2 linked regions of the Caenorhabditis elegans genome follow. The protein of the gene in region 2 interacts with the protein of the main gene of each other region in a biochemical or structural test. Each region holds a gene or a part of one and is shown on either strand. Other genes may lie near its edges.

The links.
Region 1: the proteins of npp-12 (region 2) and plk-1 interact in a test that uses a peptide from one of them, tested with the Caenorhabditis elegans proteins (one study listed by BioGRID).

What each region holds. Positions count from the first base shown.
Region 1 is NC_003281.10:8,097,096-8,108,009, reverse strand, and holds plk-1 (Serine/threonine-protein kinase plk-1), read right to left. Parts: upstream 6,663-10,914; coding exon 6,417-6,662; intron 6,370-6,416; coding exon 5,770-6,369; intron 5,527-5,769; coding exon 5,200-5,526; intron 5,154-5,199; coding exon 4,707-5,153; intron 4,658-4,706; coding exon 4,544-4,657; intron 4,496-4,543; coding exon 4,283-4,495; 3' UTR 3,941-4,282; downstream 1-3,940. Other genes in the region: K06H7.1 (uncharacterized protein), read right to left, coding at 7,372-7,516, 7,560-7,669, 7,712-7,852, 7,899-8,105, 8,151-8,282, 8,344-8,451, 8,501-8,533, 8,609-8,683; K06H7.8 (Putative serine/threonine-protein kinase K06H7.1), read left to right, coding at 9,858-9,920, 10,033-10,170, 10,217-10,335, 10,382-10,463, 10,506-10,556, 10,599-10,850, 10,894-10,914. UniProt on the Caenorhabditis elegans protein: Required for oocyte nuclear envelope breakdown before entry of oocyte into spermatheca. In meiotic cells, required for spindle dynamics and probably for spindle attachment to the chromosomes. Zygotic role in the development of the germline and nerve cord.
Region 2 is NC_003279.8:6,443,461-6,457,107, reverse strand, and holds npp-12 (BIG2 domain-containing protein), read right to left. Parts: upstream 9,805-13,647; 5' UTR 9,777-9,804; coding exon 9,622-9,776; intron 9,574-9,621; coding exon 9,425-9,573; intron 9,383-9,424; coding exon 9,018-9,382; intron 8,970-9,017; coding exon 8,708-8,969; intron 8,662-8,707; coding exon 8,483-8,661; intron 8,417-8,482; coding exon 7,133-8,416; intron 7,083-7,132; coding exon 6,158-7,082; intron 6,109-6,157; coding exon 5,739-6,108; intron 5,664-5,738; coding exon 5,507-5,663; intron 5,461-5,506; coding exon 5,282-5,460; intron 5,215-5,281; coding exon 4,697-5,214; intron 4,648-4,696; coding exon 4,319-4,647; intron 4,276-4,318; coding exon 3,960-4,275; intron 3,915-3,959; coding exon 3,690-3,914; intron 3,642-3,689; coding exon 3,511-3,641; 3' UTR 3,154-3,510; downstream 1-3,153. Other genes in the region: mam-8 (MAM domain-containing protein), read left to right, coding at 182-389, 1,153-1,289, 1,343-1,625, 1,755-2,204, 2,741-2,820, 2,881-3,126; T23H2.3 (Transcription termination factor 2), read left to right, coding at 10,644-10,712, 10,764-11,255, 11,566-12,053, 12,663-13,198, 13,542-13,647.

The sequences.
Region 1 (10,914 bases), on a different chromosome or scaffold from region 2:
AAATTATGAAACTTCGTTAATGAAATTTTTGTAATTTTTGTTGTGGAAGACAGTTTGAAGCAGAATAATGCCGGAAATGTAATTTGTCAATTTTAAATCCATCTTAAAACAATTAAATAAATAAACTTAGATCAAAAAACATTTCAAAACATGAAAAGACCAAGATATGAACGGTGTTTATTTTTTAGAAAATTACATAATCGAGAAGATTGTGCAGATGTTTTTCAACGGTATTACCTTTATATAAGTTCTTAAAAGCAACGAGCACTGATAAGAAAATAAAAAATGACGGAACTTATAGTTAGGTAAACGTCCAAATAGACTCCTCCTTTTTCATGGTTTTTTGCATGTTCACAACAAATTTTCTAGTGTATTTAGAAATGATTCCAAAAGTTTTAAGGTAAACTCGCATAAGTGAAGATCAATTTTAATTTTGAAATGATTTTGTAAAGTACTTTCACAACAACTGAGACCAAACAGGTACTTGCGCCAAAAAGTGACCGCCAAGTCAGTTTTTTTGGACACTTTTTAGAAAGAGATCCAATAGAGAACAATGAAAATATGTAGAGATGATGAGACGTAGACAAAAGGTTAACAATAGAAGAAAAAAGAGAAGAATGATTCGAGAAATGAATATATCAGGTTATACAAGAAGACAAGAAAGCTAGCTGCTTATCATGCTTTGTTTCGAAATCGTAGTGTCCGGTCAATGTGATCACTTGGTTACCATCAGGGTATTATTTCTGAAATATATGAGCAAAGATTGAAGAATCTATTCTCAAAGTAACTAAAAGTTATCGGACTTCAAAACAAAACTCTGAAAACTTTTTGTTAGTCTAAATTAAGACAAGTCTGGAAGAAAACTGTCGTAATAAAATTTCTGTTGGTGTTTTATTGGGTAGTTAAAGATTATTTTAAAATTTTATTAGATGTAAAAATTATGTGGGGAGTAGTTTTCTTCCAATAATAAAATTCGTATTAATTTAATAAAACAAACATGTAGACACAAAGGGAGTTGTTATTCGCGCTTAGAAGAAAGCGACGACAAAAAGAAGACATGACTGTCAAGTCAGTAACCAGTAAATCTTATTATGTACATAGCAATGGGTATGTACTTGCAAACTGATGCATCGAAATGATACCAGCTTCACTTATAAAATAGTCAAAAGAGTTACACATTCGGTGTTCGGTCTCGGTTTAGCTTAAAATTGGAGAAGCAAGAAAAAGTGAAACCAAAAACTCATCTAGATAACATAGCATATTCCGATTGGGCAAAAAAGCACTTGCTCCCGGTGAGGCTCGAACTCACGACCTTCAGATTATGAGACTGACGCGCTGCCTACTGCGCTACGGAAGCGGCGACTCAACGTGCTGGTAAAGGCCTACATGAAAAATACATGCCAAGGAGCGAGAGACATAGAGGGAAGGGAGTAGTGTGAGAACGAGCATTGCTTTTGAAGAGTTTGTAGAGTTTAGTTCAAGCGTAAGATTTATAACAGATCAGCTTGGGTAGCCTGCAGTTTCTTTAAAACTTTTGATTGGCAAAATACAACCAAAAATAGGAGTTGTCAATTAGAAAATAACTCGGCTTTTCTCGTAAAATAAAATAGAGTTATTTTTCACCGAGATCTACTTTAAAGTCACTCTTTAAGTAATAGTCGCACAGATAAATATTCAGATAGGTCTCGCCACGAAATCTCTAGTTTCGATGCGAAACTCAGAAATTGGTACCATAACCTTTTCTTCGTGGCGAGACCCATCCAAATGAATCCGTGCGCCGTTAAGTACGAGTTTCACAAAGTCGTAAAAATTGGATATCAAACTTTGAAATCACGCAGTATGGAAATTACAGTTTGTCTGTGAAATTGCTTTATTGAACTTGGATGAGGAACAAAACGAAACTTCGAATTACACATATTACTGTCATGACGTGACAAAACAATGATTACGGGTATACTTTTCTAATGACTCAGTGAAACGTTTTCTAATTATTTCTGTCTGTAGAACCTTACCCTCCTCTCTCTTTCTCTATGTCTTGTCATATCTGAAACGGGTAACATAGACGTTGTTGCGAAAAGCTGGGGGTGATGCATGGAAAATGATGAGGAGAGAAAAAGAGGAGACAATTCTAATGGCAAACCGTCTTCCGCGGCGACACGGATTCACCCTCCTTCGATCCATCAATTGCGTCGTCCGTCGGCGTTTTCTTGGACAACAGTTGTTATTCATTCAAAAAGGGGAAGAAGAAGAAGCGTCATTCAACATGAAATGCAACATTCTCTGAAATCTCTCAATTAGACCGGTTCCCCTCAGTTCCCTCATTCCGAAACCCCTCGAATTTGAAGATAAAGTTCAAACTGTAGATGTTAGTGGAAAATCGAGAGAATCAAACTATACACCTGATTGTAAAGGAATCGACAAGATCCTTCTCAATCCTATTTCTTGTTTTTTTTTTCAATGTTTGACTTTTTATTCAGGATTACATATGCAACCAGTAGAATGTTACGGCGGAATTTCGTCGATTTTCTCATTTAAAAATTTTTTTTTTTTTCTTTCTCATTTAAAAAATTTTATATATTACAAAACTAAAATAAAACAACTGAAAACGCATATTTAGATTTTTTTAAACAAAAATCGTGAGAGAAACCACGAAGAATCGAAGAAAATCCCACAGCAACTAAGGCTAGAAATTACAGTACTCTTTAAAGGCGCACTTCCGTTTGTATTTAACAAAAATGTCGTGTCAAGACCGGGTACTGTATTTTTGGCGCAAAAATCTTTAAACTTTGCGTTTGCTTAGTAAAAGTTGTCTTATATAAGTAATTAATTTATGAGGGGAACAACAAGAAACAACGACAAGGGGAAAGGGCTTAGGGAACAGGGATAAAAAGATAAGAACGTGGGAAAAACATCCAAGAAAGCCTTTTATAGGGGATGGGACCAACAAAACAAATAGACATTGGGTCCAACAAAACAAGGGCGAGAGGAAACGGGAAAATATTATATCAAAAAGAATATAACAAAGTAACGAGTTACTGTGGACGAGACGCATCTGTGGTTGATCAAACGGTGGTCGTAGGTCTACCTACGCATAGGTGAAGAGGCAGGTCTGACGATGATGCGCTATCGATGGTCTCTAGATCAGGGGTGAGCGGCAATCGGCGATCGCCGATCGCCGAAAGGGAAAAACGGGTCGGCGATCGGCGATTGCCGATGAAATTTTATAGTCCAAGATAGACCCCTCTGAAGAAGGAAGAAGGTATATTTTCGGACTATTTTTCACTACTTTTCGAATTTTAAGGTATCAAGGAGTGCTTTTCGTTGCCTAATATTCCTGTTTTTATAAAAAATTATTTGAAAGAGCTCTTAAAATTAGGATTTTAAAATTGAAAAAAATTAGACGCACACTGATCGGCAATCGGCAATTGGCGATCGCCGATTTTTTTTTGGCAATTTGTGATCGGCGATCGCCGAAAAAAAAATTTCATCGGCGATCGCCGATTTTTTTGGCCGGCTGCTCAGCTCTGCTCTAGATCTCTAGAAATCCAAAATTCAAGCAGAGAGCAAAAACAATTTAAACTATTGTATTTTTGATTTCATATAACAGTTTATGTCCAACTGTTACAGTAAAGCAGATCCCATTGGCATAATTTGAGACTATTTGGAATCGAACCTGTTTGGATATAAAATAAGTGACGGAAACTGTTCAGAGTGGCAAGTAATTAAACAGAACATTTGTTACTTTGCGACCGTGATCTTTGTAACAATCATGTTCAAATAATTGTCTCGGAATCAGTAAATATTATACACGCTTTTTCGAAAATTCTGAAATGGAAAGTTGAGGCAGATGAGCAGCTCAACTTGATTTTTCCCAATGTGCTGCTATCTACCAAAAATGAAATTGTCGAGAAAGTTTGGAAAAATGAAGAATACAGTTTAATAATCATCGGTACGTTTTATTTCGTGGGACTAATACCAAAAAAAGATGATTCAATTAGCAAAAAGAAATAAAAACGCAAAATAAAAATCGCCTCGCCCATGAATACAAACGAATGAAAAAGGGCTACAGCGGGTCTCATCAGTATTTACAATGAAATGAGCTACGGGAGATCGAGGACGGGGAATAAAGACATGTTGGATGCTGAAACATGGGACTAAAAGGGTCGATGAAAAACAGCAACAATAAATGAAGAGTACGGGTTAAATGTATAGAATAATACTTCTTGGAATTAATCAGGAGATGTAAGCAAATTCATGGAAGTGGCAAAGAGCACATACGGATCTATCGACGTGGGTGAATATTGGATCCACTTGCCGACTGGGGAAGGTGCGATGCAGCTTGATTTGGTCCTCGTGATCCTGCCGAAGCTGAACGAGCAGCTGCCATTGACCGTGGCATATCCGGTTGACGAGCTGGATTCTGGGATACAACGTTAGCATCGCTCATCAACCTTTCGATCATTGTCTTCGCATACTTCAGTCGGTGAAGGAATTTCTGTAAATTATACGTTATATTTGTTGATACTGAAATGGCGATTCAAACCTCTGGACATCCATTGCGCTGAAGATTGTTCAGCTTGTAGGTGAGCATACGCTTGTTTTGATCGATGAATGTAACTGCTTGCATTAATGGGCACATCATCATCTTGACATGATCCTGAAAATTATATTGTTGGGTGTTTCCATTAAATTATGAATTTGCTTACATTGAAGAAATTTATCTGAACAGTTCCATTGGAAAGGTGCAAAACAATTGCTGATTTGGTTCTGAACCAAACTCGAAGCGTTGGTAAACGAGCCAAGTCATCACCAGCTCTTTGTTCAGATCCTTCTCCAGCTTTCACCAAATGGTCATTCATGTAGGATCGAAAATACTTAAGCAATGTGACTTTCTTGTTGAGCAATCCAGGCATTTCACCTGAGTGCATCGAGAAGTAGTGCTCTTTGTTGCTCTTCTCAATATAGGTCAACTCGTTTCCAGCTTGATCAAGCATGATACGAGAATTGTCATTGAAGAGAACTCCGACGGAATTGTCACATAGTTGATATCCGATGCCATACTTGTCCGAATAGTCAACCCATTTCGAAATCCAGAAAACCGGGAGGCACTCTGGTGATTGATAACCATCAAGAGCAGCTTCTTCTTCTTCCAGCTGTAACAAACTTTTAATTTAAAAAAAACCTCTTGTTTATTCTTACCCCTGGAATACGCTGCTCTAAGAGCACAGCAACTTGGTGGAAAAGTTGTGAAAGGTATGCATCCTCGGGCTCCCGGAAAGTCGCCTCTGCAGCTTGTTGTTGAGCACGCTCACGATCGGCATTGTTCGACACGATGTGTTGTGGGAGGGCAGACAATCCAGCTCTTCCGTTCAATGGGCGTTGTGAACGAGCATCAACCCCTCTTGGAGCAACATTTTCCTCCATCATCGAAGTTTCGTGTCCTCCGAACTTTGGCACCATAGTGAGGCAGGAGACTGGAAGTCTAGTCGGCATGAATCCTGACTTGAAGAAGCCATCGCGTTGAACCTGTAGGGTTTTCATTCCGAGTTGAAGAGATTTCATAACTTATTTAAATATTCGAACTGATTTTTTAAAAATTGTTTTCGATCTCTTTACTAATTAGAACGAAGGGCAATCAAACTGAACGTGAACTATCTCTCAATAAAAGTTCACGATAAAATTCAAAAGTACAAATTTTCTAATGATGAAACTCGAATCTCCGATAATACTAAAATGATTTTCACTCCAGTTCAAAACTATTGAAATTACCTGCTTGGCAGTCGGACGACGTGTTGGCTCAGGATCAAGCATCTTGCGGATTAGGCTTGCTGCTGGTTGTGTTGCGATCGACGGAATGGTGTAGTTGTTGTGGCGAATGCGTGAGTATGTCTCTTCAAGCGATTTAGACTCGAATGGTGGTTGTCCGAAAAGAAGAATGTACAGAATGCATCCAACTGCCCAAATGTCAACTTCAAATGAGTGTCCAGCTTTGTTCAAAACCTCCGGAGCTATGTAGTTTGGCGTTCCACACAACGTTTTCTTTCTCTCATCACCGTTGACCGTTGTTGCTAATCCGAAATCTCCAATTTTGACAACTAGATCATCATTGAGGAAAAGATTTCCAAGCTTCATATCACGATGAATGATGTTCAGATCATGCAAATACAGCACGCCATCCACAATTTGATGAGTGAAATAACGAGCTTCAGGTTCGGTGACCGCCTTTCTTCTTTTGTGCAACTCCATCAGCGACCGTCTTGCACATAACTCCAAAGTGATATACACGTTGAGATTGTCCTCGAAGAAGTTGAATAACTTCACGATATTGATGTGTCCAAGCTCTCGATGAATCTGCACCTCTTGTGTCATCTGAAAAATCGTAATATGCACTGAACTAAGATTCGTTCATTGTCTACCTTATCTCTCTGGTATTGCTTGACGAGCATCGACTTCGGAACCACTTTTCCAGCGACAACCTCGCGTGTTGCTCGATTCGTAAGCTCATAACAGTGAGCGAATCCTCCCTTGCCCAAAAATCGTCCTTTCTCATAATAGGTCCCACGATCCTTGTCGGCGATGAGAGCGGGAACCTCTGGTGGAGCCTTCTCCTTTCTTTGGTTGGACTTTTGTGGGGGTTTTGCAATGTTGGGAAGTCGATTCATCTGAAATGCAACACAAAAATTAAAATATTCAGTATTAATAATTGAATAAACGTTTTTATTTCTAAAAATGACAAGAGGCGAGCTGGAAACTTGAAAAAGAATCGGTAAAAGTCATTTTAGGACGAAAATGGCGGACGGCAAATTCGAATGTTGATGCTTGGCGGGCGCAGGTCTCGCAGCGAACCGTGTGTCGATTTACGCGCCGATGAAAAAGGGTGCTAAACAAAACAGCGCGCTGTCATCGATCAAACATTTTCTGGTCAAACATAAATATCACGGAGACATTGATTTAAAAAACGGTTTTAAAAATTGAAAAATTTATTATTCAATGTACTTTCTGCAATAATTTTGTACATTAATGTTTTAAAAATTAGCAACGAACCTTTTTGGGCTTGTAACAGAACATTTGCACGTGTGTTAAACGATGCCAGATGTTAATAAAAGAAAAATTAATTTTAAATGGATTAATACGTATATTTTATGGCGTACGTAATACATTTTTACCACGTGTCTTCCACGTCTTACCGTCATTTGGAGAGAAGGCAGCTTCTCTTTTTGGATTAGTGGTAAGTTTTCGTGGTTTACACGCCTTTCTTTGACGATTAAAATGGATGGAAAGAGATACTATAACAATTTTATTTAATACATGAGATAGGATATTTAGCTTCAAAAACACTATATTTCCAAGACGGCATCTCAAAACATAAAATTATGAAAACGCAACAATGTTATACGGTTTGAAATTGTCAGTTGAATCTTTCAAAACCAGCAAGGACGTTTTCTTGTTATTCTCATCTGGAACACTGTATACATCAACTGGCTCGAAGCACTCAGTTTTGACATCAAAGCGCTCTCTGAAATTAATTCTAGTTTGCCTAACATCAGTTTTCTGCTCACTTTCTATCATAATTCGTACACTTCAAATCTCCTGTGACTTTTTCAACATTCACGTGTTTAGTGAAAAACCATTCTAGGACAACAAATTGATCATTTAAGCTGAGACGTTTCTGAAAAATAACAATTCTTCATTCCATGATGATTTTCAATACCTTTATCGCATGAGCAACTATATTTTCATCAATTCTGTCCGAATAAAAAGAAAAATTTGGAATTGCAATACACAATGCTAGAAATTGGTCGGTTGAGAAAGAACAGTGCTCCATAATACTCAGTGTTTTGCAATTTTGGAACTGAAAATGTATTGTACCAAAAATATTCAAAAATAAACATACTTACATGTGGAAGATCAAATATCTTGGACGGAATATCAAGTGGATATTCTCCATGAGGAGCAATACACAGCTCATTTAGAGAGTTCGGATCAACTCTTTCAATCCACCACTCCAACATTTCCAGAGATTCCATTTTTAGAAAAAGCCTTCTAACGATGATTTTTGGAATGTTCAAAAGCTCATTCGAACTACAAATACATTTGCTTGCTTTCTGAAATATCAAAATACGCGGAATTCAGATTAATTTTTTAACTACCAAGTCTATAAAAAGCTCGTCAAGCCTATAATTACAAGCTTCCAATCTTTCCAAAAGAACTCCTGAAATTTCAATCTCCGGAACTTGGAGATCTTTCATTTTTCCTAGTCGACTTGTATATACAATTGTAATCTAAAAATTTATGATTTAATTAAAATATTATGAGGAATGTGATTATTTTCAATTTAAAAACCTGTTCATCACCAGAGCTTATAATTTTCAGTGAATATCCTGAATCTTGCATTAAATTCTGGTCATTGGTCTCTTGATATTTCCCACGACAGTTGTATTTATTCATTTTCTAAATGAAAAAATTTCTAGTTTATTGCAAAGATCGAGTCAAACTATACCTGTTTAATTCCACACATCCGTGATAGAAATCCCTTAAAAAAGTAAATTTTCTTGAATAGCAAATCTACCATTAAAAAAAGTTAAATTAATTAAAGTTTTTAACTAACCCGATTTTCAGTAGATTTTTCCCGAGACTTCCAGCTGTAAGAAGGTTCAAACCGACGAAAATTGGGTTGCAACATTTTCTGAAATGTGCCAAAAAGAGATGAATCTGAATGTTTGTTCACCAGTGGGTCGGCGATTAAGAAAAAAGGCGAAGGGTTTAGGATATTGGATTTTGATTAATTTGAATAGAAAAAACGATGAAACAATGGAAGAACTATCCAAATAAACATGTCTGTGAAGGGTGTTACGTCAACTATTGAAAGTTGTTGTAAATATTTACATCTAGGTAATCTGAAAGATTGGGTTAAAAACTAAAATTATGTGGTATTTTGAAAAATGAATCTCTATCAAATTATATATTAGCTGTGAGTCAAAAATGAATATTTATATTCAAATTGAAAACGTAAAGCCTCGGCGCCGCGGCGAGTCACGAGATATCGAAAATTGAAGTGGGACAACCTACTAATTATGCAGCAGGAAAAAGGAACTCTAACAGAAAAGAGAAAGAAGGAAATGAAATTTAGAAAATAATGAAACAGAGAAGAGAAAGTCCAGACAGATGAAGGTATAAATGGCTCAATGAGTAGCTTGAAGAGACCGCCCGACAACAAGTGAAGCCAATTGAAAGAGTTTGAGAGGCGGAAGAGAGATGAAAAAATGCACGTTTATAAGGAATATGGGAACATTTTTAATAGAGGAAAAGTCTAGAGTTCGTGAGTTCAAAAAATGAACCATTTTTTAAATTTCAAAGAATGACGCTTTAAAACATTTAAGGTAGGCACGAAGGCAGGCAAGTTAACTTTTTGCTTTCTGACAACCAAAATTACTGGAAGTTTATACTACTGGCACCTCACAGTTTCATAGTGCTAAAATTTCCGAATGGCATAGTAAACTATTAAAAAAATTATTGAAATGTTTTTATTTTCAGCCATAAAGTGGTGAAAACTCATTGTTCTCCTGTCATAACATTTGGAAGTCGGGCAAAAAAAAAAAATATTTTAATTGCGTTCCAATTTTTTGTATTTCAACATTTTAAAGGCTCGAACATTTTTGAAAATTTTGGCAATTTACCAAAACTTTAACAATAAAAAGTCCTTGTGACCGACGTGTTGAACTTTTCATTCCAAAATTTATACTTTCAATTAAATCCACACGTACAAAGTGTCCACATTTTTGGCTATTTGATTCATTTTTCAAAATTCACTTGATCTGTTTTGTAGTATCAAGTAGTATTTTCAATTCAAGCGCAAAATGCCGGGAGACGTTGGTGAAGAGACGCTAGAAATTGGAGCGGTTGTCGGGAAAAGATACAAGGTGAGTTGCGGGAATTTGCGCGTAGATTATGGTGGTTTAGTAAGTGAGTTGGTCCTGCCAACTGGCATTAATCAAAATGTCAAAATTTAGTTGATCTATAAGAGTACTTAAGGTCGTTCAAAAACTAGGTGAAGGTGGTTGTGGCTCGGTCTTCAAAGTTGAAGACACATCGGAGAAGGGTCAACACTATGCACTGAAAGTTGAGTTCAAGTCTCAAGATGCTGGTAACATTCTCAAAATGGAAGTCCAGGTAAGATTTAGCTTATAGTTAAGGGTCTCAGGTCGTTGTTATTCAGATTCTCTCCCAGCTCATTTCGAAAAAGCACGTTGCAAAATGTGTGGCTAGTGGGAAGAAGGAGAGGTACTCATATATGGTTATGACCCTTCTTGGAGAGAGTCTCGATTCACTTCTTAAGTAGGCTGTCTAAAAGTGAAAAATTATTGAAATAATTGAGTTTCAGAAAGCACGGACCTTTTCTGAATGTTTCCACTCAAGTTAGAATTGGTATTTGTATCCTTTTCGGAATCAAACAGGTTCATGACGTAGGTGAAGTTGAATGATATCAAACAAATTTTAACATTTAGATTGGATATCTTCATCGGGATTTGAAGCCTGCCAACGTGGCAATGGGTTGTGTGAGTCTAGAAATGTATAACCATCAATGAAGTTTTTTACAGAAGGGCTCAGCTGACGAGAGATATTTTCTCGTGCTTGATTTCGGATTGGCCCGTCAATACATTGCCGACGAAGACGATGGATTGAAGATGCGTCGTCCACGTGAGAAAACATATTTCCGTGGAACCGCCCGTTATTGCTCAGTGGCGATGCATGACCGTTATGAGCAAGGAAGAGTTGATGACTTGTGGGCTTTGGTGTACATTTTGGCGGAGATGAGATGTCGATTGGCATGGCATGATGTTGATGATAAGGTTAGAAAATACAAAATCTTTTGTTAAATTCCATGATTTGCAGGTGGAAATCGGTGAAATGAAG
Region 2 (13,647 bases):
AAATCTTCTCGTGCGCAGAGACTTAATAAAATAAATTGCTCTTCTTCCACATGCTAACTAGCCATCTTTACCTTCATTGCTTACTCTTGTATAATTGACATGTCCTCCCCCTCCCCCCGAAAACCGGTCACTTGTTGAATATCCAACGAGGTCACTCTAACCAACTTCAGGATTATGACAGATGACACCGTTCAACGCAATGCTTTTCAAAATTATCTACCTAGTAGTACTACCTATTTCTTACTGTACGGAGTTATGTACATTCAACGAAGGAACCTGTGAATGGGATATCAGACCTCCGTGGAATGTTGTCTCGTTGGCAATTCTTCCACGTCATCAGCATCCTGGACTACTAAATATTTCAAAGACACCCGATGTTATCACTTCTGGTGAGAAATTAAATGTATTTTCTAATGTCTTCTAGACTACATCTCGTGTATAGCATGTTCACTATTAAATCGAAATGACTAAATACATTGGCCGATCGGAGAACCTGAAATTTAGCTTCAATGGTTAATTTATTATTTGCACAAAGATTCACAACAATCATCTACTATCTCAAAACAGGTTTTATACGGTAGATCGCAATGTGCTCATCACCACGATTTCTTGCCGCGATTTTACTATAGTCACATAGATTCAAGCAGTCTAGTAGACCCTCACGGATGATGTCACATGTTAAAAAAGTTACCGACATTTTTAAAGATCATGTTCTACGGAATGTACCACGTCGGCCGTTTTTCTCATTGAGACTACGGTAGAATCGCGATTTATTCGAATCGTGGCGAGATATCAGTTACAGTTATCTGTACTTTTACAATTTTCTTTTCAGTTTTAGTTATAGTTTTTCTAAACATGTACTCGAATTGGGGCAAAAGTACTAAATATATATATTTGAAAATCTACAATTTTGTACAATCATCAATGTTTTAGGTCAATCTTTTGGCAAAATGCCGAAATTTGGAATCTTAAATATCCGCTTCTGTACTCGTAATTTTCGTGTAGTAACAATGAAAACATTGAGAAAGTAATTTAGTATACTGAAACCATTTACTTCAAGTTTTGAAAAATCTAGGAAGGTCACCAAGTGTGTCCTTTGAAACTTGCGCACTCTAACATAAATGGGGAATTTTAAAGTCGCTCGTTTTTCAGAAGGACCATTCCTACTTGCACAAGGAAAGTTCGCATCAGTGCCCTCGTCAAGAGTTACTTCTCAGAAAATCTCAAAATCAGATCATATGAGAATACTTGCATATCGGTATCAACGTCGTGGAATGGCGACTTTGAGGGTATTTTCCCATTTTAGTTTGAAATTTATGAAAACTCTTACTTATAATTTCAGATTCTTTTAAAAAACCAAACAGACGAGATCTTACTTGATACCATATCCTCAAATGAGATAGAAAGAATCAAATGGCATCGTCGAAGTGTCATTTTTCCTCCAATTCCAGATTATAATCAAACAAGTGTTATATTTGAATGTGATAATATTCAAACTGCTGAAGATATCATTGCTGTCGATGAAATTGACGTGGCAACACCTGCAAATGTTATGTGGGCGGGACAAGATTCCAAGTTTTTTGATGAAGAAGATATACGAAGAAGAGAAATTCGGAGAAGTTCAAGTAAGTTGATATTGTAGACAATATTCGGATCCCTAAAACGTTTTTTTCGTTCTTTCCTTGTTTTTTACTAATGCGAATAATATTCTACAAAAATCCCAAGGACCATCTCTATAACTTTTAAAAATTCAGAATTATCAAATGTATGTACTCCAATCTCTTGTCATTTTCGTTCTTCAATTTGTTCCTGGCAATCAACGAATATTCAACTTCTTCCATCTAAAATTGTGAATGAAGCAGCTGGTGAATCAACTTTGACATCTTCTCCAGTTCGTTTACCAATTGATGCACCATCTTTCATTCAATTACAAATGTTTAATAGTCAAGGATCTGTGACTTCTTTATCATTTCGAAATATTGGTTCAATGAATGAAAAAGTGATATGGACTGAAAAAGAGGATTCATCAATTCCCGATTCAACTGGAACTCAAAATGGATGGAATCGAGTTTTAATTTCATTGGAATCAGTTCCAAAAGGAATTCCAGTAATTCTAATTCTTAAATCTATAACTGGTGCAAACGATTTTGTGGCTTTCTCCTCAATTGATCTCGTCGATGGAGAATCAAAGACTTTAACGTGTGGTAATTTATTTTATACTTTTAGTGGTGCATTTCTGTAGGCATTCCAGGGGCGTTTTCCTGTGGTTGAGCAGAGGCCGAGGAAAGTTGTTCACCCTCATTTTTTCTATAATATGAAGTTACAAAGGTTCAAATAAATTTGTACCGGATCAATTAAAGATAGAGTATCGTCAGTGGGGAAGTTGCTTATTCTAGGATAAAAATTGAAAGTTACAGTACCCCAAAGTACTTTTTTAGAAATTTTTCAACTGTCTAGGTTTGGAACCTACTATAATGCTCGAAGTAATTCATAAAATCTACATTTTTGGTTAAATTTGGCAAGTTACCGAATCAATGACAGAAAATTTGGAAACATCTAAAACGTCTTTGGAGTGTTTCATTATTATATTTGGTTATTTTGGAAGTGTATTTATAGAAAATCACCAATGACGATATTCTACTTTTGAACTGGTGGAGACGATTTGGAAAAATTAAGTTGTGCGCCAGAAGTTAAACAAATAAATACTGTTGAGTTTCTCATAAATTTTAGATAATTTTAGATCAAGTGACGTCACCAGTCCAACCACAATCCAATCAATTGGTTCGCCTGACGGCTCTTCAGAATCTAAAAATGTTACCGGTAAATTATAAGAAATTTCGTTTAGCCAAGAAAATAATCTGAAACAAATATTTTTTTCAGATTGAATCAATTCTTTATCAACCACCAATATCAACAACTTCACCAATTTCATTGTTTCCTATTCCTCCGACTCCTTCAATTTCATTTAATTCAGATGAAAAACCATCATCTCTAGCTTCTCCTGTTGGAATACTTCCTATATCTCCAACTCTTGTTTCGGCTCGTGGAATCCCAATTTTCCCAATCACCTCTTTTTCGAACCCTTTGATTCCGCTTAGCAATGCAAGACTGCCCTTCCATTTTTAATTATTACTTCTAACTAGGTTTTCTGTATAAAAATGATAAAGTCAATTTAATATTGAAACAGTTCACTGTGAACAAAATATAATAACAATAAAATAAAAGATATGAATTATGGATAAAAAATATTTGAAAATCGGGATTTGGGGGGAACATCGAATACTCGTAAACTGGGGAGTGAGAAAACGGAAATTAACCAAATTAGAGTTCACAATCATGATACAATAAATTTAGAGATTGAAAAAATGTTTAGAGGTGGAAAGAGACGAAAGAAATAACCCTAAAACTTCCTGAAAGTGGATGGGTGGGACTTGAAATATGTTTGGAGATATAAGTGTAACAACAAGGGAATACAAAATTCACATAAACAACAAAAAGTATGAAGGGATTTTAGTAAGACCAAAGTCTATTGTCTCCACCTGATCCCATTTGATTGCGAAGACGATCGCGAGCCGTCGGAAGGGATACTTGTGGTGATCCAGCAATTGGCGTTGAACGAAAAACTGGTTCGCGAAGACTCACTGGAATTAATTTATAAAAACTCTGGGCTGATAGAGAAATTAACGCACCATTTGTGCTACTCAAAGAGCTCGCCATCGATGTTTGATGTGTCGTGTTATTGAGAGTATTATCACCAAATGAGCCAGTTTTATCGAATACATTCATCTTAACATAAATTCCGATAACTAGAATGATGATTCCGACAAGACAAGTCCACAGCAACGTTGGAATAGCGTGAGAGTACTTATGTGCAAGAATCAGAAGAACATCTACTACCCCACGACTTTCAAGTGCTGAAACGATTAGGAATTTTATTGAATCCTGTAGTTGAAACTTACCGTTGTATACTTGTTTAGCAGTCTCATCCAACAACTGAACAGTGACAGGAACACGAATCACTTGACCAGTCAACGTGTTCTCAACAGAAATTTGGCATTTCTTTGCATGTTCAGTGAACAGAGCTGCTGATTTGATGTTGAGACGGATGTTATAGAACACATTTGCCTTTGCAGAATGTTTATCACTTGATCTTGAGGTTTTCTCGACCGATACAATATCTCCTTCACATCCAGAAACGACTATGTGCTTCGAGTCGTATGTAGGCGCCCAGATGGAGAGAGCTGCTTCGATTTGATTCATATTTGAGAATACGAGCTGGAAAAAGTAAAATATTAAAAAAAAACTTCGTGTAACTGACCTCCTTCTCCTCGACAATAAATGCGAAATGGAATGGAACATCAATTGTAGCATCATTTACTTGTACTGTACCATCTGAAATCCATTTCGCAGTAATTCTAGCATCAAATTGATCTTTCAATAGTTCCTCGGGAACAACAATTGATGAAGTTGAGACACTCGAATCAAATCGACGAATTTCACACCCATAACCAAAAACTGGGCTGAAAACTGCTGAAACCGTCAGCCAATTGACAGCCGAAATGATCTTCGAACGACGAGTGAAAGCAACTTGACATTCAAATGGAGCACCAATCGCATCAAATGATCGAATTTGATCAGCAGTGCACTCTGAAACAACAAAGATGAGGATGAAATGTGAAACAACAGCAAATCTCACCTCCATAAATTGACGAAACTTTGCTTCCTGAAGTATTATTGGTTGCAGCAATGACAGGAATTACGAATACCGAATGCTCATCATTGCTCACAAACTCTGGTTTCTGACCATCAGGGAAACGAAGAGAAGATGGCAATACAACGGAGATCTTCGAATGAATTGTTTGTTTATCAGCATGAAGTCTGATAAAAGTATTTCCAGCCTTTGTGAGTTGTGCAACTCCGAGATTCTCATCGAGCCAACTGATTCTTCCTTCACTTGAACTTTGAGACGACCAGCGAGATCCGTCTACAGTGAAAATGTTTGATTGAAGACAAATCACATCAGATACAACAAGATCGTTTGCATACTTGTGAGCAGCTCGAGGAAGGATTGATTCAGACGCAGAAAGACGAATAAATGTAGCAATGTGGGTATTTGAAGCATCACCAATTCTGAGAACAGTATCTCCAGCGGTTTTCAGTGTGATTGTCAGTGTCTGATTGCTGTTGGTGGCGACAATATCGGTCAAGTCGAATCTATAAGAATACCGTGAATATCTTGGATCTTAAAAAAACAATTTTCAAAGATCGGAATTTTCCTTACCTATGTGGTCTGAAATTGATACTGTTGGAGGCAGCCGCAAGACGACGACCTCGAGCATCACGTGGAACAACGTTTAGCTGGATTTGGGCTCCAACAGGAAGATGTATGAGTGGAGAATTCTCAAAAGCACTTTTAAGTTCAATTGTTGGGTGAACATCGAGAGAAGCGACACGAGAAACCTGAAAAAAGGGAAAAGTGAATCTACAAAAATATAGCGTTTCTTACAGTCACAGGAATGAGAACAGTTTCATTATCCGGGCTGTTCACATTACGAACGGTAATTGCAGCTGATCCTTCTTTTCCGTTTGTTATCAAATGACCGTCCGCAGAAATGACGATCCGGCTCGAGAAATCAGAAGGAACTGAGAAAGATGCTTGAGACCTGTAAATAATAAAGTTGAATTAATGAAATTAGAGTTGTTTAAAAGGAGAACAATCTGCAAAAATATTCACTTACCATGCAGTGACCATCTTCAATTGAGAATTTGGCGCCACTCTGACAGTATTAATATCCATTTCTGGTTGAACTAATGAAAGTCCATCTTCCACTGTAATTGTTGTTTCAGCGGTGAAAGTAGAGGTTCTTCCAGTGAAATGCTTTCTTGCCTTCTCATTAAGCTCAACAACCGCTTTCACTGTAACCGATCCTCCTCGAATAGCATTGAACCAAATGGCAAATTGATTATCAGTTGGTTCGACTACATCTCCACCGAGGGGATGAGTTGTGAATAGAACAGATGGATCAGAAACGCTCCATGTTACTTTGAACGGGTAAATGGCTCCACCAAAAGCAAATGGTTCTTCGTCTTCAGCTCCGGCGATCACTCCTGAAGAATAAAAAATAATTAATTTTTTTGAAAGAAAAGTGTCACATACCTCTTAATCGTAAGTTTACTCTTCCACCAGTTTCCACTTTCCTGCTTGACGCTGACAGAATAATTCCACCGAGAGAGGCAACACGAAGAACAACAGTATCCAAGGTAACATGACCATCACCAACACGAACAGTTCCGGTAATTGCTGTATATCCAAGTTCTGACGACGTAATAAGTGCATTAGGCTCAATGGATGCAATCATTGAATTATTCAAGGAAAAATCGAGTGGTGGCGTCGGTTGAGGACCTCCAACGACTTCTAACTGAAATTTGGAGTCCGGAATCAAAGTCAATCTTTTTGGTTGCAAGAAAATAGGAGAGAAAATCTGAACGGTGTGTGGTCTAGATGAGAGTACACGTCCTGATGAAGATTTTGATGATGCGGACAGCGATACAGTTCCAATTGAGTTGGCACGAAGAGTGTAGCGAAGTCCGTCAACTTTGGTCAAAATTACATGATTGTTACTTGCATCGAGTTGAGCGTCAGCAAGTGGACGATGTTCTTTTTCGAATGAAGCTCCAGTTTCGTCTTGAGCCAGAATCTCTACTTCAACTTCTTGTCCAATTTCCACAAACTGCGGTGCGTCAATCGCCAATGAATGAATATCAGCAATTCTTACGGAAGCATCGGCATGTTGCCCAACCAAACAAGCATCAGAAATACGAAGATTCACTTGTCCATTATTCTTCGGCGTAACTGTGAGACTTCTTGCACGGAGAGCAATTGCAACTGGTGAATCTGATGTTGGCAGATTATCGACATGGAAATGGCCAGATCCACCAGTTATAGTGAACGTTCCTTTTGAGACAGCTTCATTCCAAAGAACGAGACGTGCTGGTTCGACGTTCAATCCTTTTTTCACTGTGATTTCATATTTAGTGGAGAGAGATCCAGCTTGAGCTTGAATAGTAACTTGGCCTTCTTTCTATAAATATATTTATGTGAAAAAAAACTTAGTTTTCAGAATCAACTCACCTTTCCAGAAGTCGCATCTGCCTCAATTCCATGACGATTAACCGTCAAAAGACCAGAATCAGAAGTAGTCCATTTCGGTGAAAGCCCGTTGATTGAGGCCAACGGAGTTGCAGCTCCATTACAAACTCCTGATCCACGGAGAACGAGTTCTACATTTGTATTGATAAGCATTGAATGAACATTCAATGGGCACTTGGATGGACGTTGTTTCTTGTCAAAAATTTCAAGACGAGTTGGCTTTGCGCAACAAATCGAAACTGTAATTTCAGAGTGAATTGGAAGTGGAAGCGTTGACGATTTGAGGTTTCCAATACGAAGACGAACAGCTTCTGTTACTTCTGAAGATCCACACTTGAACAAAACTTTTTCGTTTTCAAATGTGACTTGAAGTTGCGATTGCTTTGTTTCTTGTGTTTTGTAAAAGTTTGCTGGATCCAAAATCCACGGTCTTGGTCCACCAGACACAGTCAATGGGTGAGTACTTCCGAGTGCAATTGATGAAGATTCTTCGGAAATAGACAATTTCTCGTAGACTGCTACATCGATGCTCGCTTTGTGGCCCAAATAACTGATGGACACTCGGGCATCTCCTGATGACAGTCCTTTGAAAGTTATTGTTCCACAACCAGTGCCCATCATTGGAAGCGACGAATCAGCTGAAGACTCGTGCCGAAGCAACGCATTATCCGTAATTTGAACATGAGCACGGATATTTCGACAATCGGACATTTCAACTAAAAGTCCATCAGATGTGAGTCCGGTTGCCTTGATATTTAATGTAAGAGTATCTCCGACGAATGTCTCACGGACAGTTTCTCCAAATCCGATTCCAGACACTTCGAGAATATGAACACTGGCAATGTCACGAAGCTGATCATTTCTCTTATCAGTTGCTTTCACTTTAGTGCTTCCTAATGAATTCGCAGTCATTCTTCCAGTTAGCAGATCCACCGTTGCCACGTGTCCATCTTCAGAAGTCCACTCAAACAATCCACTGCCTCCAGTTGCTGTTAGATCAATTTGTGATCTTTTCTCAGATACGAATGGCAAATAGATAACCGGTGGAACAATTCTCACAGGATCAACGATAGTTACTCGCTGCTCTCCGCCAATTTTGCCACTTTGTGCAATTCGATTTCCCTTGGCATCAATAATAGCAACAAATTTGGTTCGAAGAGTAGTTTTTGAGGGTTTCAGTGGAGTCACAAGGAACCAGGTACCATTCTCAGACTTGAAATCCACATGAAGAAATTGCTCATCGATATGAGTGTCGAAACGGGAATTCTGAAAAGTTGTAAAATTTAAAAATTGACAGCTGTTTTTTGTTCAATTTTTCAGAGCTTAACTTACATCAGCAACAAACATAACATTTCCGTGCTCATCAAGAAGTTCAACGTTGATTGTATACTGTTTTCCGGTTTCTAGCATCCAATTATCTCCTGAAACATGCCATTGGACAGATTCGGCGTCTACCACATGAATGACAGTAGATGGTGGACGTAATCCAGCTTTAGCGCGCACATCGACATCTGAAAAATTCTTTTTGAACGAGAAACATCCATTTATGCAACTCACGGCTGCTCAAGAGATGTACTGCAGTGTTTCCAATCGTCAGAGCTCTCACAGATGAACTTTTTTTATCGAGCGACGCCACATCACCACCATCAATTTGAAGTTCGTATGACGGATTAGGCATGTTCACTATTTCTGTTCCACGCTGCTTGACAATTAAAACTTGGAATGGAAGAACTGAGTGAACTGGCAAGTAAACATCTTGAGATGGAACCAAAAGTAAATTTGCGACGACGGCGAGTTCGACGTTGTGCGCTGCTACTTTCTGAAAAAAAAAACATCCTAGGTAAATGTAGTTTTGCAGATTGCTCACCTGCAAATAAGCATCACTGAACTTGGTTGTCAATGTGGCTGTTCCTGTTCCAACACCTTCAATCAGAATTAGATATCCTTTCTTTCGATTCTTTTCCAGTTTAACAATTTCAGAAGGAGCTTCATATGTTGATTGCTCGAATGGAACAATTCGTAGTGGTTTCGCTTTATTTGAAGATGTTGATGCAAGCTCCCATTCCAATGCAATTTCACTGAGAGTAGAGAATCGATCGCCATCGGCGTTAAATGCGTCAACAGTCATTCGAGCAGGGGCAGCGTCCACGAATAGAACTTTCGTTGTTGTTTCGATGCTAATAGTTGCGATCTCATCTACTGTCACGCCGCAACTCAATGTTGTGCCGGATCCTTAATAAAAATTTTAAAACCAACATTTCACAAAAATTATACCTTTATCTTCTGCAAAAATAACAGCAGACAATTCCGAACTTCCAACAGTTCCAGGCTTCGCAACCGATCGAATTTCAGCTTTATCCGAACATCCAGCTTCGTTAGTTTCGATACGTTTAACAGAGACAATATCGGGACGAGTAGATCTCCTGCAATTAAATATATTAAAAAATAATTAGATCATTTCATTGAGTTACCATGTAAAACAACCTCCGGTTGGATGCGTTACTTCCAGCACAAATGAAACTGGGACCGTTGGATGGTACGGTAATAAAACTCGAGGAACATTTAGCCGGTATGATATTGTGATTTGCACTAAAGCCAAAACGAGCAGTGATCGAAGTATAATCATTGATCTATTCGGCTCTCCTACCTACAAAAAAATTAATGAAAATTTCTCTTATGGAAAAGGAAAACAGGTGGAGATGAGAGAAATTTATGTATTTAATATAAAAGTTAAAGTTAATTAACTATAGTGATCATGCATTAAATAAATAGTAGAATAAAAAATAAATTTAGCGATAACTCAGATCGGATTGAAGAAAAAAGAAACTGAAATTCTGCGAAAAAATTCAAAATTATTTCGTTGTACGCAAACACGGCGCGGTTCTTCACGACAATGAACCAATTTGGTGACCGTAGTTCATAATTCTAGATTCGGAATCTGAAGAAAAAGCGTAATTGGGGAAAAAACATGAAAAAACATGAAATTAATACCGTGAAATAAAATGCGCTTTTTTCCTTCTCGATCAAAGATATATTCATATTACCTCAAAAAAAATTTTACCTAACAAATTTGCTCGTAGATCTCTTTGTTATGGTTTTTTCCTGATATTTTCATTTCGACACATATTGCGACAACACGTGTTTTCATCAGCAGAAATTATTTGACAGTTATTTATTTTAAGTTACTTTATGATATTTTCAATAAAACGTGCTCAGAAAGTGCACAATGAGACGTTTCTTCTCGAGTTTCTATGTCTCCAAGACCCGGTTTACGAAAACCCGTGTTGTCTCGAATTATTGCAAGCGCGCTCCACTGCACTTCCATTTTTGCGCGAAGAAATGTTTTTGCAGTTTTCCTTGAATTTTTGTGGGGTTTTCAGAAAAACACTTTTAAAGGCACAATTTTGTATTTTACGTTAAGATTTTCCTAACACGTTCTTTTTTCCAATATTTTCAAGCCAGAACTGTTTTATTTCACGACAATTATTGCAGGATGGCATCGTTTCGTAAGAATCACGTCATTATTGATTCCTCAGACTCGTCGGAAGACGAGGATCGCAAGGTTTGTTCGAGTTTAACATTTGAATTTTGCTTTAAAATTATTGAATTTCAGGAAAGACACAGCTCCTCATCTGAAGTCGATGAAACAGCTTCAATGAGATCAACTGATAGCTCCGAGCCGCCCAGGACAATTATTGATGCCTCTCTGAATTCCATGGCTTCAACCGTGTACACATCAACTCCAAACTCCAAGCAGAGCATCTCCAGAACCGGTTCCTCCACCACCTACGGGAGCTCTAAATGCTCCACAGACGATCACTATCGTTCGAGAAGCTTCATTGACAACAGCTTCGAAAAACCAGTGACCCCGATCACCAAGAAGCTACAGGAATCCGATGAGCCCCGCGCAAAGCAGCAGCTCCGTGAGCGGCTCCTCAGAAAATCCATCAAACAGCAATCGGATCAAGATCTGACAGGTGGCTCATCGCGAAGTGGATGGGGAACTGGTGAAAATAGCAGTCTTGAAAGCAGTGATCTCATAAATTCGCATTTTTCGCCAATTGCGAAGACGTTCCGGCATGCTTCCGATTTGGATGATTCAATGGTAAGAATGGGGAAACATTGACCTAAAGCTGGCTCAAAATTCAAAATTTCCTTTTACTTTTTTCCGATATTTATCCAAAATTTCACATTTTACTTGCCAGAAATTATCTAGAAAACGATTTTTCAAGCGAGAAAATCACTTTTTGCAAGTTTTCAAGCCAACGTCTGACGTGTTTAACCAATTTTCGCCCAACGGAATCGGCTAGTGCTTCGGTATGTGACATAGTAAATTGATATTATTATCTATATCCTCTTTTTCGATATTTTCACAAAATTTCAGCTTTATTGTCAAAAAATATATAAATTTACAGAATACCTCTCCGCCGCCAAACCGTTCAACTCTTCCCTCGGTTGAAACAAGTTCTGGAAATTCTCCACAAACACCGTATCCAGGTTCTCCTGAAGCTTCTCCTCAACCGTCTCCTCCAAAAAATACTGCTTCAGAGCTCCAAAAGTTGAGCATAAAAGAGCTGGAAGCAAACAAAGATAAAAAGTTGAAACTTTTGAAGTTTTCATCGAATTTGCCGGACAATGGAGCACGTGTGAAGCTACAAGTTGATGAAATTACTGAAGAAATTGAACGAAGAATTATCAATGGAGTGACGGATACCATGGTGGTAGACAAAACCACGGCTATTCCCCCGCCACCACAGCCAAAAAACTTGATTGCTCCAATTCCACAGGATTTCGCGGCGATGTTGGACAAGAATGGGCGAAAAGTGATGAGCGGGCGGATGACAGAGCAGAAAATTCTCAAAGTCAATAAGATTTCCGATCGATTGATGCAACAGCTCGCCGAGTTCGTAAAAATTTTAGTTTCTTAGAAAATTGAGTCTCAGTTGACGGCTTCGTTCTATTTTACGAAAAAAAAAGAGTATTTGTGGATTCTGAGGGAACCAAAAGTTCTTTAAACTTTAATAAGCCACGCTCACAAAAATTGGCGTGGCTTGGAAACAGATATTTTAAAACAAATTTTTTTGATTCTTACAGTTTTTTTGAAAACAGTTCCCAAAAGCTGTGTGGATGCCATGCTGAAAAACTTGACCATAGAAATTTTAATGATAGAAAATACCATATTTTGGCCGAATATAACTAAAAATACAACTTTTCTTGTTTTCAAAAAACATTTTCGGTTTTTCTGCGTTGTTTTTGTGTTTCAATTAGCTATTCGAATAAGAAATTTTAATTACAAAACGAAAACCGGAAAACCAATCAGTCGAAAAACGGCCAAGTCAGACATTTTTTAGATTTTTATTTGAAATTGTAGAAATATATTTAATTCAATTTTAACAGTCATCATTTGAAACAAAAACCCAACATAGTGCTTCTCCTTCAAATTATAATCTAACAATTAATATAATTTCCGTAAGAAAATGGTCTTCTCTAAAATTATCTCTTCTTTTTTCAGCGCAACTCACACAATCCCAGCTGAAACAGACCTCACGGACACACCCGACGGGCTCCTCGTCGAGCTAATGCCTCACCAAAAAGCAGGGCTTCGCTGGCTTGTCTGGCGTGAGGGTCAACCACATTCGGGTGGGATCCTCGCAGACGATATGGGTCTTGGCAAGACTTTATCAATGTTATCATTGATTGTGCATCAGAAGGCAGCGAGAAGAGCACGGAAAGAGTCTGGAGATAATGCCGCGGATAAGGAGAAGAGAAGAGTGGCAAAAGAAGAAGGATTGTATCCATCAAATGGCACATTAATCATTGCACCAGCTTCACTTATTCACCAATGGGAAGCTGAAATCAATCGAAGACTCGAATCAGATTTGCTTTCCGTTTTTATGTTCCATGGAACAAAGAAACAGAGACAAATTGAGCCAAAGGAGCTTGCAAGATATGATGTCGTCATCACCACGTACACATTGGCAGCCAATGAGCTTATGGAGAAAAAGGCGGCTGGATCCAAGAAAGAGGAAGATTCCGACGATGAATCAGGTACGAATTTTAAATCTGAATTCAAGCTGAATTTTGATCACAATCCGATTTCCCTGGAAAATGAGTTATTTGTTCCAAAAAAACTATTTTCTTTTCAAAAAAAGTGGGAGTTTTCGGGAAAAATATCTATTTCAAGGAAATGTATTATTTCTTTTAAAAAAAGAACTTTCTGGAAAGTATAATTTCATTCCAATTCAATAATCGATTGCTTACAAAAACGATTTTGCTTTTGTGAAAACTCAGCATATGTTTTTTCTAAAAACTCTATAATTTGAAATGCCAATGTTTTTAAATAAATCAGAAATTTGAACCCATTTTCCGCGATTTCATTAATTTTTTCCAGAGAACGAAGAAAATCCCCGTCGCCCTGCTGGCAAAAACGACTCCCCTCTTGCTCGTGTCGCTTGGTCCCGTGTGATTCTCGACGAGGCTCATGCCATCAAAAATCG